Linked DNA regions of Callithrix jacchus. The protein of the gene in region 2 interacts with the protein of the main gene of each other region in a biochemical or structural test. Links are inferred from orthologs where the notes say so. Each region holds a gene or a part of one and is shown on either strand. Other genes may lie near its edges.

Region 1 (8,041 bases), on a different chromosome or scaffold from region 2:
GAGCCATTGCATTTTGGAGTTTCTATACAGACTTTACTGTAACTAATGCAATGATTTTGATATAATATGTGCAACTACTAATAACTACCTCTGAGGAGGGAAGTAGAACTGGTTAAGAAGGACACAAAAGTGGCTCTTACTTTTAACTCTAGATACTTCTATTTAGTTTGAAATTTCTTTTACAGTACTTTCAAGAACTTTTTATATGTAAACCGTCAAACAGAAGAAAGAAACAAAACCAGGTTTCCTAACGGTCTCTCTACATGGTTCTGTATATAAATCTTTAGAAACTGAGTAATACCACTTTATAAAAAGTAGTGTATACATTCCAAGATTAAAAAGACCTATGCTGGGAATTAATTGCATATTATTTCATAAAGCTCTCTGAAGGCAATCTGCATGTTTAAGACATCTTTGCATTTACTCCTCTGTCCTATACTGCTTTACTATTCATATACGTATTATCTGAATGAGTAACACATTAAAACTGGAAAAAATTGAAGACAAACATACTATACTAGTTCTAAGAATTTCATTTCTGCAAGTGCTCCGATCAGGCCTGTTGCTTATGGAAAGGACTCCATAGTACCTCTGTAATTTCTTCCATTTCTCATGTCAGGCTGAGAAGCTAGTTGTTCCTTGACCCCATCTAACCGCTGTTGCAGTTCTTCTGATGTTATTTCTCCTAAAACAATAAAAAATTGCCATTTAAATTAAAAATTGTTTAATTCAATTCTGAATTAAGTTTTCTGAGACCTTATGTAGGGTAAGACTAATCTTTAGTAACTTGCAGAAGACAAATGTCTTATTACTTTCATATGTTCTGCAGATTGAAGACAGTTAAAAATATTTAACTGGTGCAAACATGCATCAATTTGGTTGTGCTTCACTTAATCTTTTATTAAAAATTATTAAAATAAGATTAATTTGAATAGCTGGTGAAGTGCTGCCAACTGATACACTTAGGAACCAATAAGCTATAACTGTGGATTTTTGTCAGTTAAAAAGAAATTAAGGGAGCATTTATACAGAAAACTTCAAATCCATACTTGAATTTTACCCCAAATACTTCATTATATGGGTCTTCAATATACAAACACACAATATATAAATATACAAATTTCCATTAGTTCATTTGTAAAAGTTTTATGGAACACACTGGGCTTTGGGGGGAGTTATTAATTCAGCTGAATAAATTATAATACCCCAAATGAGTTCAAATTGGATTTTAAGTCATATTTTATTTGCATAAAAATTGCAAATAGGACCATATATGTAAATATTTAACACTATTATGTACATTAACCTCCTTAGTAGTTTGGCATTTGTGTAATAGTGCTCCATGGTCCATATTTTCACCTTATAAAATACAGAAGCAAGCCAGTGATTTTCTACTTTGTTTCTACTAAGACGATCTTAAACTCACCAAAACAATACACCATATTTTCATAAAGAAAAGCAGGGAAAACTACCAATTCTCCTTATTTTGAAATCCCTCCATCTAATGATGAAAAAAATTGTCTCCTCTTTTACCCTTCTCTTACCAGGGGTGCCTAAAAGATTATGGTCTCTCATAAGTCGATAATCTTCATCACTGAGTTCATTAATAAACTGATAATAGGCCTCTTCTCTGTGGAGACGCTCTTGCTGCCATCTTCTCTCATTTTCACGATGATTATGGTCTTGAGATAAGGTTTCTTCACTACCACCATCTGATCTAGATCGAGACTGACTCATTCTGAGATTCCTGCCTTTCTGTTCAAACAATATAAACAAAATTCAAGGTGTTATGAACCACATACGACTTTGTGTTTTTAACTTAGTTTTTCTTAATTTTTGAATGCTGTCCCCTACCCAAATACTGTATTTGCCAAATCTTGCAGTGAGAAACTTACATACAAAATGCAAAACAACTTCTAGGAAATACAACACAATTGGAGCTACTTCTTTGCCTAAAGCCATTAAGTCAGACTGGATTTGGGTTTACCACACATCACTCATGCCTGAATACCATAGTGATTATCTCATTTTTTACCTGTTGACGATTTGGAAAAGTTGATCTAAAAGTCCTCATTTATGTTTCAATATCTGGGTACTAAATTTAAATTTTAGGCTTGAATTATTCACATTCTTCACTTAATAAGCAAAAGGCTATTGGGATGATATGATTTACATTTATTCTCAGCAAGGTATTCTTTCCAAAATAAGGCTCATGAAGGTAATATTATCCCTCACTGCACTTTGTTGAGGTGAAAATCATTTAGCCTAATTAATATCTACCAAATAGACTGGGAGGTGATCTCTCCTTAAAGCCTACGAGGAAGACTTTGAAACCCAACAGGAAACCAGACATCATGTATGGCTCAAGGACTGTGGAAGTACATCAGAGCACTTTGTGTCTCCCCATATCAAGCCTCATCCTTAAGCCTGGAATGTTAGTCCCAGGGGTTTCGGAGTGCCAGTGGAACTTCTTGACTTTGCCTAAGAAAACATTATTTTCTGATTATATTTAAATGTCATTCCTGAGAAACTCACTTTTAAACTACAAGGAAATCACAGGAGAAAGATGTTTGTTTCATAATATTCTAGAATTTCATAAATACATCTATTTAGTAAACCACACTAAAGCAATGGTTCTCAAACTCACTTAAGGATATTTTTAAAAACACAGATGCCCAGATCTCATCACCCACCAATCCTCAGAGTTTTCCACGTAAGAGCCAGGTCTGCTAAGAGCTAATTTGGGTGTTCTGCAGCTGCAGATGAAATAAACTATTCCTCGACAATTTCTGGCATGTCACTAAGGGGTATGAGTAATCCAGCAACTGACTCAGGAGAGGAGAGGCTGGAGGCTCAAATAGTTAGGCTACCAGTGAAGCAACTGTACAACTCTGCCTCTCAAAATGTACCAGCTGTTTAATAAACAAGCTGCTTTAAATATAAGGTAAAGTTAGCCTAGAATTCTAAAATACTGTAGGAGCAAGTAACTATTCAATTTCACCTGTAACACTAAATTACAAATTCAAGGATTTTTTTTTTCACTGTGGTTATTTTATTATGCCGTTTTGATCAAAGGACCTAGTAGCATTATCCACTCAAATATGAATTAACACTACTAAAAACTCAAGATTTCTATCTTCAGATTAGGACTATAATTAGCAAAAAGCGTATTTGGTAGGTACAGCAATAATATGATTTTTGTAAAAAATAATTTTACAAGTTGAAACCTATCATAAAATCAAGGTACCTTAATATTAAAATTTAAGAGCTTCTCCTCAAAGGTAATTTTCTTATACAATCAATCACAATGAAAACAAAGTGAATACCTTATTTTCCTTTCAACATGCTTTTAACATATGCCATGGTATCCATCCTTCAATTGTTTGTGCCTTTTTTGAGAGCTGCCCATCTGAAAGCAATAAAAGAGAGTTCAATAAACTCTCTTTGAGGGCTACTCTGCTGCAAAGCCAAAGCAAATTCTCCAGTGGATTTTGTTAGACACGCCTAGAAAAGTAGATCTCCATACAATTAGGTCACGAAAACCTCCCGCAAGGCCCTTCCTCCCACAACAAACTTAGGCCTTTCTTCCTACACTGTCACTGCTCCTGGGTTTACCCTCCTCTCTCAAAGGCCTTCCGTCCTATCCGGTTCCCATTCGGATGTTACCACGGTTAGGCGTCTCCAGTTTACTTCTAAACCTTGACTTTCTCGCCACCCCCGCCCTCTGTCCCGCTACTGGTTTCTTTCCTGGCCGTTGCGACGGAAGCTCGCGCCGGGGGACGATCCTCACTACGATAAACAAAGTGGGCTCCAGGGACCCAACTAACCTCTTCACAACCGAGCCTCAAGTAAACGCTGCGCTTAGCGACCTAGATTCCCACAGGGAAGCAGGTGACAGATGGTGTATCCCAACCAATCACCAGCCGGGGGGGCGTATTAAGAGGGCAGTTAACCAATCGGAGAAGTGGGTGACCCGAAGGATGGCCTGCTTTCCCCGGCGTCTCCAGGAAGTAGTGGTAGGACCCAGAGCTTTCCCCCGAGCCCACCTCTCCAGGACAGGGGCCGTCCGCCTCCTGCCGGGAAAAAAGTCTGCCGCAGGCGGCTGTCCTCTAGGGTGCAGGTGGCTGTGGCTGGGAGGCGAGATAGGCTTACCGCGCCTCCAGAGGCCGCTGTGCCCTCGAATTATCTCCACTGAGGAGAGAAGCCGGAAGGCCGTGCTGCCGCGTGGGGTCGTCCCGCTGTAGGGGGATGCTCCGGAGGAGGAACTGCAGGCTCCAGCACGTCTTTCCCGACAGCCAGGTCGCCCTCTGACAGAGGGTAGTCGCTCCGCAGCCGGCCCGGAGCTCGCCAGTGCTACCGGAAACTGCGTCCGTCGAAAGCTAGGGTGGTTGCGTTCCGCGTTCCGCCCTCTTCGCGCTGCCGTTACAGTGCCTCCTCCTGGAGGCCAAATACCCGGCCGCTCAGCGCTCTTGGCAGCCCCGTAGTCGCAGAGATACAGCCTGCTTTCCAGGCTTGGGAAGTCCCAGCACTTAACTGCGCGTCCGTGTTCCTAGTTTGCCGGCCTGACTACAACGTGCAACCGACTGTCTGTTCGTCTCTTTACTTCCGGGCGTAACGTACTAACCAGCCAGGCCCTCTCCCTTGCTGCTCGTTGGAACCTAGAAATTACAAACTCTCATAAATTCTGAAGTCTGTTTATCTTATCTGTCTTTCTCTATTTGAGACAAGGTCTCGCTCTGTCGCCCAGGCTGGAGTGCAGTGGAGCGATCGTAGCTCATGGCAGCCTCCAGCGATCCTCCCTCCTCATCCCAGTAGCTGGGACTACAGGCGCTTCCCACTAATTTCAAATTTTTTCGTTTGAGAGATGAGGTCTCTACAAACATAGCGGGGTCTCGCTATGTTGCCCAGGCTGGTTTCATAATCGGCCTCGAGCAATCGTCCCGCCTCAGCAAAATGGGATTACAGGCTTGAGGCACCGCACCCCTCTATATTTGTGTTTTTTTACTTTCCCACTAGGAAAGCAGTTTGAAACTCCCAACATTCCTCTCTCTGATTTTATTTCTCAGATGTGAGGCTCACTAAACTCAACTCACCATTAGTTAAGCTGCCGAGTATGTCTCTGCCTAAGCTGGTATAAACTCCGTTCCTGACATCCCCACCATCCGGATGACTTCATCACTGGAGAGTGCTCACAATGCCATTACTTGTCATTCTTTCGTTTGTTCTTTCATTCATATCTGCGTTAACTTTTGAGGAACTACCATATCCCCATTATTGTGCTGGGAACCCGGATAACAGACAAGATGCAGTCCTTAGCATCAGTGAACTGCCAGTGTAGTAGAGATCCATGGACAAGTTTTAAAGATAAGCATATTGATATGGAGACTAAAATGGAAACATATAAAACAGCCTAGAAAGCCCTTCCAGATCTCTCTGCTGCTTACATTTACAGACTGATGTCTTGGCACTCCGAAACTGCTTGAAGTTCCTCTACAAGATATGGGAACTCCTAAGCAACCTCCAACTCCACTTTTAATTTCCTCTGCCCCCCAAAACTCAGCTCAGTTCTCATCTTTAAGGAATTGTTCCTGATAATTCTGAAGTAACACCCTTACCTCACCCTCCAGTCCAGTATCTTCACATAAAACTAGGCAAATGTCCCTTTTGGAGGCTCCCATACTCCCTCTATATAACTATTTTAGCATGTAGCCATGTATTTAACAAATACTGAGTGTGACTACGTATTAGGTGCTGGTAATAACAGCAGCGAATCAAACAGTCAAGTCGTTATTGAATGAAGTCCTTGTACTCTTTTCCTATGAAAAAGCCACTGAGCAAGTACTTAAAATGATTTTCTGTTTTTAGGTCTTTCCTACCTAGAGTCTGAACTCCGTAAGTGTGAACAAATGCTCTTATTCATTTTTGTAGTCCTAGAACTTAGCATAGCACCTGGCAGAACCTTCTCCTCAGCCTACTGCATGGATGAGCAGAGAAAGGTGCAATCTTTTTGGCAAACAGGATTAATGCACTTAGTACAAGGACTTCAGATATTGTGAACACACATCATAGAAAATAACAGGTAGAAATAATTTTTAATATCTGTGAATTTTGGAGAGTGCAATCAAATGCAATAATTCAAGTGCAAATACTTTTTACATGTTAAGTGGAAAAACATATGTGTCTCTTCCTATTTTTCCTATTTCCTATTATATAGTCTAAGAGTCAAAAATTTTATTATAAAAATTTGTAAATAAAAATCCAATCAAGTGATTTACCAGACAGGAAGCTACAGGTTTTTGTGGGTAGAGATACAGGTAATGTATGTAACTTGAATCCAACACTTTGCTTCAGTTTCTGTAGTCCAAGACAAAATGACTACAAAGAGGGGCTTAGACACGATAGCTGGAATAGACAGATGAATCATCCTTTATATCTACTCCAGGTCTCAGAACCTGCCAAGTTCTCTGGTCTAATTATTTCTGTTTATCTGATTGGTACCTGGCCTTTTTAGTGCATATGCCTTGTTTAGTTTCTGGACTTTTTACACTTAGGAATAAAAAGGTGTAAAATAATTAAACCCATACCATTAAAAGGATTCTCTGTATATCTGGTAAATTATGTACTTGTCATGTTTAAGAGATTTTTGGCTTCGCAAAAAGACAGTCTTAATTAAAATTTAAAACACAAAATGGAGCACTCGATTTCTAGTTTTAAGATGAAATCTTACTAAGTTTATGGATGGCATGAGAACAGCAAAGAGAAATTTAGGCTTGCCTTATTGTTTTATTATTAGTTTAAAAATTATTATGTAAGGATTCAAGAAGGAATTAAATTAGACATTTGAAGTACTTATGAATGAGATAAAATATTAAATTTGTAAATACAGTTTAAAATGTTGGTTTGAAGATAATTGCGTATGTGAATGAGACTGAAAGTTAATGAAAGGCAAATTCCAAATGACTGTTAAGATTTACTATAGTTACCACAAGAATAGTAAGAGCCGTAAACCAAATGTAAAAGCCTAAGGTATAACTAGGACATTGAATTTTAAACTAACAAGTTGAATATTAACTGTTTAAGGCAAAGATTTTTTAAAAGAATATTTTCTTTATTTCCTCATAGCTCTTTTAATAGTTTTATTGAGATATAATTCACATACCATAAAATTTGCCCATTTAAAGTGTATAATCCAGTGGTTTTTAGTATATTCAGAGTTGCACAGCATTCACCACAATCTAATTTTAAAACATGTTCATCACCCCAAAGGAAACTCTACACTTATTAACCATCACCCCCATTCCTACTCCACCCTATTCCCAGCCCTGGCAATCGCTAATGTCCTTTCTGTCTCTATGAATTTGCCTATTCTGAGCATTTCAAACAAATGGTATTCTACGTGATGTGGTCTTTTGTGTTTAGCTTCTTTCACTTGGCATAATGTTTTCAACGGTCCTCATGTTGTAGCATGTCTCAGTATTTCATTCCTCAAGAGAAACTTTGGAATAGTCCTTTTCTGCATATAAAAACAACCCTCAAGGACACTCCTGATAACCAGGGTCTTAATTAGGCCAGCGATAGTCTTGGATCAGGTTATCTAGAAGCGGAGCCTGAGAAAAGGATTCTTATTGAAGTGTTTTATTAGGACCGTGCACTCTAGAGAAGAGGATGGAGGAAGCAGGATTGGCCAAGAGGACAAGGAACAAAGAATGAGCCTCCACTGATCCCATGAAATTCACCACCCAGTGCTGTCCAACAAGGCCAGCTCTTTGGACACAGATGCCTGTCCATCATTGAATGATCTCTTCAGGGGCAGGATTGCAGCAGAACCTCATGCATGAGGTGGCTTTTGTTTTAGCCAAGGGAAATTCTCCAGAGAAGTTAGCTGAAATTGTTATTCAACATTCCCAGCAGCTGGAGTACAGATGCATGAGCTTATAAAATGGATTTGGGCAGGAAACAAGAAACATTCACTATGGTCCACTCTTTGTATTGCTGAGATCATTTGCTTCTCATGTTGTTTCTCCATCTAAGTAGTTTCTAA
Region 2 (7,272 bases):
AGATTTTGGGACTAGCTGTCCCATTTATTAAATGGAAGTGTTGACAATAATAAAGCTTTACAGCTGTTTTACTTCATTGACAAAAAAAAATACCAGATTTGATTGATAAATGATTCAAAATGCTAGACATTTCACACTGTAGGATAATGCAGTACATACAGCATGTTAGTCTAAACTTTGAATAATCAGTAGCATCATTATAGTGACTGACACATGATCTGTGGTGATTCTCAACTTTATTGGATGTATACATAGGCCATCTGAAGCCATTTTATTTTATTAGCCAATACTACTTACTGTACTAGCACTCTTAATTTATGTCTTATTTCTCTAAAAGAAGAGAACCTAAAAATTGGAAAATATTATTTAGGTTAGAAGCAGCTGCACTGAAGTAACCATCAAGTTTTCTGTTTTTATAAAATTGAAGAAAATGTTTCTCTTGAAGGGATTTATGAAAGCAATCTGTTCTCATTTTTTATTTTTAATAATTGCTGCTTGAATATACAACATGTTTTTAAAAGTAATAAGGTTTATAGGAAGCAGAGTCCACAGCCATAGCTTTTTCAAGTATTAGATAAATAATAGCTCTTTCAGTTCAATTATTTATGAATGGTAGTTTTTCTGACCTAAGATGCTCATCTGCAATATTCATATAGATTCTCATATTCTTTTAAGAATCTTTCACACAGTGTTTCTGTCATGCATTAGATATATGAAAGATTCTGTGTTGAAGAGTAATTCAAGTTCATATGCTCTTTCCTGGAATGATGTCACAAAATGAATCTCATTTGGCATAAACAGCTAAGTCCTTATACATAGAAAAGAAATGGCAGACTGCCGGATGCTGAGTACTTATCTTCTGACATTGGTAGCTTTTTATAAAAAATCAGTAGTGTTAGATTCCAGAAACCATCCTTTGAGAAATGAACCAGCCTCAGCTTCCTTATAAGTAAAATGGGGAGTATTATAGTATTACCATATAGGGTTGCTATGTTCCTAGCACATAATGGGCACTTACATGAATGTTAACTGTTACCCTTTTCCTTACCTTAAAGGATAGACATGGTTTGTGTGCATGATAGTAAAATTCAGGCAAATGGCTCCTGGCAGTAGGAGTGGGCAGAGGAAGAACTTCCTTCTTGCTTATTTTTTATAAGATAGATTGTACCTTGCTCATTTTTTTACTTTTCTATATTTATTTTTTTAATTTTTAATTTTTTTATCTTAAATTTTTTCTTTGAATTAAATATAGACAGAGTCTTGCTGTGTTGACCAGGCTGGTCTCAAACTCCTGGCCTCAAGTGATCCTCCTGCCTTGGTCTCCCAAAGTGCTGGGATCATAGATGTGAGTCACCTTGCCCAGCTTATTTTTTAAATTTTTTTTATTTTTGAGATGGGGTTGCTGTGTTGCCCAGGATGATCTTGAACTCCTAAGGTCAACGATTCTTCTGCCTCAGCCTCCCAAGTAGCTGGCATTATAGGTGTATGCCACCATGCCTGGAGCTTTTCCATATTTTAAATGACTTCTTTTGCTTTTTATCATGAGGTTAGTCTGAAAGCATTCTGGGGCTGTAAGTCAGCCTGGAAAATCTACCCTGTTGGTTTAATATACAAGGCTTGAAGTTTCATTGGGCAGATAGAAGATAAGAAAGATGCATAAAATACTAATTTTTTCTTTAGTTCATAATACCCCCCATTTGCCTGTCATATAAGTCAGCTCTGCTCTATAAATCCACCTTTGGATTTGAAAGAGTAGGAAAATAGAAAGGAAACACAATGAGGTTGGGGCAAGTGGATATGGGAGGTTGGTCCAGACGTTCCCTGAAACTCCTCAGAAGTGGTGGCATGCAATTGAAGCAGACAAATGAGGAACCACAGTCCTTGTTCCCTCTTATTTCAGATACTTAGATCTTAGATTGTCTTTTTTTTTTTTTTTTTTTTTTTTAGCGTAGCTATTTGCATTAGGATTTTGACATACTGGAGTAACAACTACTTTTTCAATTTTCATTTCTATTTTAAAATATGCAAGTTATATGAAGGTAGCTGTTCACATTATTTTTAAATGCATACAACATGAATAAAGTACATGAAGTAAAGATTCACTGAAAAAATTTTTACAAATTTTTCTTCTTTGTAGACAGACTATAGCTCTAAGCCAAAGTAAAAGAGTGTCTGAGCACAGTATCCAAATGGTATATGGACTGTTAAGTGTAATTTGATTGTTCTGTAGAGAACTCTCAAGTTTAAAGGTTGTTAATAGCTACTTTGGAGGGTCACTTTTTTAAGTAAATAGAAACTCAAATAGAATTTAAAACTTCAAAAGCTAAAGTAATTTCATATTTTACCCATCTTAGGGTAATTTTATAACTTTAAAAATTAAAGATCATTTGCTATCAACCAAAATAGAATAAAATATAATTTCATATGTTCATTTCTTTTGTTTTTCTAATAAATTTAGTATCTGTATTCACTAAAATCATTTTCACATGTGTAATTATATGAACTAGATTATTGTCTAATATGATGTTCTTTTTTAAATCTAGTTTTATTGTCCATATGTTCTCTACTTTGTGATCCTAATCCAGATGACCCCTTAGTACCAGATATTGCACAAATCTATAAATCAGACAAAGAAAAGTAAGTGTTAACTTATCTTAGTTTCTGTATGGATACATTCCTATATAGTATGCTAAAACATGAATATTGTCAATGTATTTTAAGTACAGCTTGTTGTGCATATATTGTTTTATCTTTTTCCAGTGGAGTAAACCCTTCTTTTAGAACTCAGTTTGTCCTTTTACAATAAATCCTGTTTCTTCCCACTTCCTGTTCAATAGTATATAGTCTGTATTTGAAAAATAAATATATATATATATATTCTAGGTGGTAAATTAAAAATGAAATAATTTAATCATTGGAAAGTATTAAATACTGTATTGCCTATCTTCTCCCAGGAAGATGAGTTCTCTCTATGCCCATCCTAATTCTATGCCCACTGACCTAATTCTCAAGCTGCTTCAGCTTGCCTGTACTGTAGGTTTATTTGCAATTTGTAGATAATGCTTCTTCAGGGTTGGCTTTGTACATTTCTATTAAAAGTTGGTTTCTGCATTTTCTTTTTCATATACTTGGATACATTTTCATACAGATTGCAGAGAAATCCATTAGTTGAAAAATTGTCCTTCCCGTTTTATTTCTGCATGAACCTAAGTCCCATTGACCCAATAATTGATGTATGTGTGATTATTGCAATTAAGTATAAAAGGAATATATAGTTTTATATAGACAGATGCTTCTAAAATATTAATTTTGTATGTTTTTATTATATTCTTTTTGTATATCTACAGATACAACAGACATGCAAGAGAATGGACTCAGAAATATGCAATGTAAAATCAAAAACATTTTCATATATACCAGAGTACTGTAAAATCTAGATTTTTTTCAACATTAGCAGTAAATTGAGCACTGTTTACTGTTTCATTGTACCATGAAACCATTTGATTTTTACCCATTTTAAATGTGTTTCTGAAGCAAGACAAAACAAACTTCCAAAAATACCCATAAGACTGTGATGAGAGCATTTATCATTTTGTATGCATTGAGAAAGACATTTATTATGGTTTTAAATACTTGGACATCTGCATCTTCAGCTTACAAGATCTACAGTGCAGCTGAAAAGCAACCAAATTATTTTTTGCTGAAACTAGATGTTTTTACATGAGAAATACTGTATGTGTTGTCTAAGATGTCAGTTTTATAAATCTGTATTCAGATTTCATTCTTTGTTAGCTCACTTTATAATTTGTATTTTTTTACTGTATAGACTAAATATATTCTATTTACATGTATGTCAACTCATTACTTTTTCCCTGTGAACAGTATTGAAAAACCCCAGCAGCTGATAATTAAGTGAATTAACTGTGTCTCCCTTGTCTTAGGATATTCTGTAGATTGATTGGAGATTTCTTAAATCTGAAATGATCTTTACACTGTAATAATCAGCATACTGATTATGGAGAAACACTTGTTTTGATTTTATTATACTTGACTTAACTTTATTGCAATGTGAATTAATTGCACTGCTAAGTAGGAAGATGTGTAACTTTTATTTGTTGCTATTCACATTTGAATTTTTTCCTGTATAGGCAATATTATATTGACACCTTTTACAGATATTACTGTAGCTTTTTCCATATAAATAAAATGCTTTTTCTACTATTTGTCTTGATTACTTAAAAATATAAAAATATAATTAAGGATCAAAACTCTAAAATTTTGCATGAAAATTACTTCCAAATTATGAAAATCAGATCTATTATGTTTGGCATTAGTCACCATTAGTTATATAAATTTTATTGTTTTAGGTTAGTATCTCTTTACTAAATTGTCAGTCTATAAGATGATATATGTTGATCCCTTGCTGTGGAAGAGAATTTAGAATAATTTGGGGTTTGTCTGGGATTATATCTAAATGGATTATTTGTTAAAAGTACTGAAATGAATATGAGGCAGTATCACTCATCCTGAAGAATGGTCTTTATAGACCTGTACAAATCACTAGATTAATTCATTAAAATACCCCACCCCATGTAATTGACATATTTCTTAAAATTTTAAAACGTAGAATTTCTAAAATGGAATTTTAATGTCATCACAATTTGAAAAGCATTTGTTTTTTACTATAGAAGTTACAAAGAAAGTTCTAAAATTATGCCTCCCTCTGTTTTTATAAGTGGCCATCCAAAAGTGATTTAAATAAGCAGGTTATCTTTATAGATTTTAAAGGAAACTAGAAAGTTTTTATGTTTTAATGTGGGGGAAAATACATCTCTTTAATGTTTAGCATGCTTATCAACCTTGAGCGAGTGTCATTTTTAAGAACAGTTGTAGCACTTCTTATTATTGCAGTAGCTGTAGAAGTGTGTAAGAGTCTATGATGGGTGTAGTCATTAGCAAAATGTTTAAATCACTTGAGTATTTTGTTATGGTTCATTATTATTAAAGCACAAAATAACCTATTGTTAGAAAATATGTGTTTTTATAAATGAATGTAAAATAAATGAATTGTGAAATGAATGTTTAAGAAAATATAGGCTTAAAAAGTAACTCTATAAAGTGATGTCTTAAAACAGCCATATCATGAAAAATTCTACCTAGCTATATTATTATAAGCTACATTTGCCCTGAATTTGAACACTCAACATCATTAAAGTATTTAGTATATTTTGATAGTAAAGGGTTTTGTTTCTTGAGTATCTTCCCTTAAAGAAAGGAAACAACTTTCATTTGTGTGGCATTTATTTTTGGAAGTGTCTTTTTTTCTTTATTAAAGTTTTTGAAACTTGCCTAACTCGTTTGCCTTTGCTTACATCTGGATTGTACTAGACTCAAGGAGTAAGCAGAAGTTCTAATAATTAACTAAAAACGTTGAGTTCCATAGTGGCATCATGATCAGTCAGATCACCATTTTGGGCATATTATCGTTGCTTAATTCTAACAGGGAGAACATCAGTTACTTTTTAAAACCATAGATTAAAAGCCAGGGCCTTTTCGTAGATTAAGCATTAACTTAAGGACTTCCTTGGAGTGAAAGAAATTGATAGTCTTTTGGGGATTTAGGATCCCACCTCTTGAAGTTGCATAGTTGAAAACCATGTTCAAATTGGATTTTGAACACTTGTAACTGCCATATACAGCAGTTATCCACATCAGTGATACGGGTTGTAAGGGCAGCCTCACCACTATCCTCCAACTATCTCAAAAGCATGATTCCTGAAGTACAAGCTTTACATATATGCCTCTGCCAACCACATTTAATTATTCATTTTTGCATTATCTCCCGGTTTTACCCCTCTAAACTCTGATAGGAAAAATTAAAAATTACTTTATAAATGAACTGTATATCAAGGGCAACTCTTAAGAGTTAATGTTCAAAAGTTACTTTATTAAATGATAAAAATACATTGCAGGTTTATGTTATTTATCACAGTGATCTATCTTTGATGATTTAGTTATTGACATTTGTCAGGATCCTGCTTTCCCAGTTCTGTATTTTTTAAATGGAGAGATTAAGGAAATTAATTTCCCTCCCAAATTAAAAGAGGTTCTTGATTATGAAACTATATCATGCCTGTTTATTGGTAGTTAGTTTGAACTGCACAAAAGCCCAGTCCAGTTGCTTATGCTTTAGAATTTGAGTTCTGCAGTAGAATCATCAGTCCTGTTACTCTTACCTTCTTAGGACTAGCTATGAAAATGTGATCAATGCTTTAGCCATGGCCATAAAAACAAACCTTCATTGTATTCAGATTGTTGAAATACTGTTTATCTTTGTTTCAATCTTTTAAGTGATTGTTAATACAATAAAACAATAAATCTGATTTTTTAAAAATTAATTTTATCACTTCGACTTTCACAATTTTTTTCTTTTCTTTTTTTTTTTTTTTTTTTTTGAGATGGAGTTATGCTCTTGTTACCCAGGCTGGAGTGCAATGGCGTGACCTCGGCTCACCGCAACCTCCACCTCCTAGGTTCAGGCAATTCTCCTGCCTCAGCCTCCTGAGGAGCTGGGATTACAGGCATGCACCACCATGCCCAGCTAATTTTTTGTATTTTTTAGTAGAGACGGGGTTTCACCATGTTGACCAGGATGGTCTCGATCTCTTGACCTCGTGATCCACCCCTCTCAGCCTCCCAAAGTGCTGGGATTACAGGCTTGAGCCACCGCACCTGGCCAATTTTTTTCTTTCAAGTAGAGGCTTAATCAATTTAATAGCTGTAAAATATGGTGCAGATTATTTATGAAAGGTCTTATATCTCATAATGGTTCTCTTTTATCATTCTGATGGTTGCATTGCACAAATAGGGCAGCAGGTAGAGACTCATCTAATTTCACTTATAAAGTTCCTATGTGTAAATAACTAGTCATTTCTACTCTTTTTTCTGTCTCTCTTTTTGAACTGAGTAATGTGTCTGTAAGCTCTTCTTAAACTGTGTGATTAATATGTTTTCCTTAGGAGTTTTTGTCAGTAGTAGTGATAAAATTTGTAGACAGCTGATAGTGTCCTGGTAACAGCCTAATAGATGTTATATCACTTATTTGTATTTTGTGACATCTACATTTCTGCTCCCATTATTCTGTTATATATGTATGTATATATATATGGTTTTAAATTATAAATGAACTGAACTAATAGGAAGAGAGAAAATTCACCTAAAAGTATTAGTATTGGGAGGCATTTTGTATACCAAGAGACATTTCTTTAAAAA

The links.
Region 1: the proteins of UBE2D1 (region 2) and RNF6 form a complex in vitro, tested with the Homo sapiens proteins (2 studies listed by BioGRID). The link is inferred for Callithrix jacchus from reciprocal best matches to the Homo sapiens genes UBE2D1 and RNF6.

The regions. Positions count from the first base shown.
Region 1 is NC_133506.1:145,385,645-145,393,685, forward strand, and holds the start of RNF6 (E3 ubiquitin-protein ligase RNF6), read right to left. Parts: upstream 4,368-8,041; 5' UTR 4,047-4,367; exon of another isoform or gene 3,593-4,046; intron 3,505-3,592; exon of another isoform or gene 3,410-3,504; 5' UTR 3,327-3,409; intron 1,756-3,326; exon of another isoform or gene 1,752-1,755; 5' UTR 1,738-1,751; coding exon 1,545-1,737; intron 686-1,544; coding exon 590-685; intron 1-589. UniProt on the Homo sapiens protein: E3 ubiquitin-protein ligase mediating 'Lys-48'-linked polyubiquitination of LIMK1 and its subsequent targeting to the proteasome for degradation. Negatively regulates axonal outgrowth through regulation of the LIMK1 turnover.
Region 2 is NC_133513.1:72,134,840-72,142,111, reverse strand, and holds the end of UBE2D1 (ubiquitin-conjugating enzyme E2 D1), read left to right. Parts: intron 1-2,543; coding exon 2,544-2,637; intron 2,638-3,347; coding exon 3,348-3,393; 3' UTR 3,394-5,348; downstream 5,349-7,272.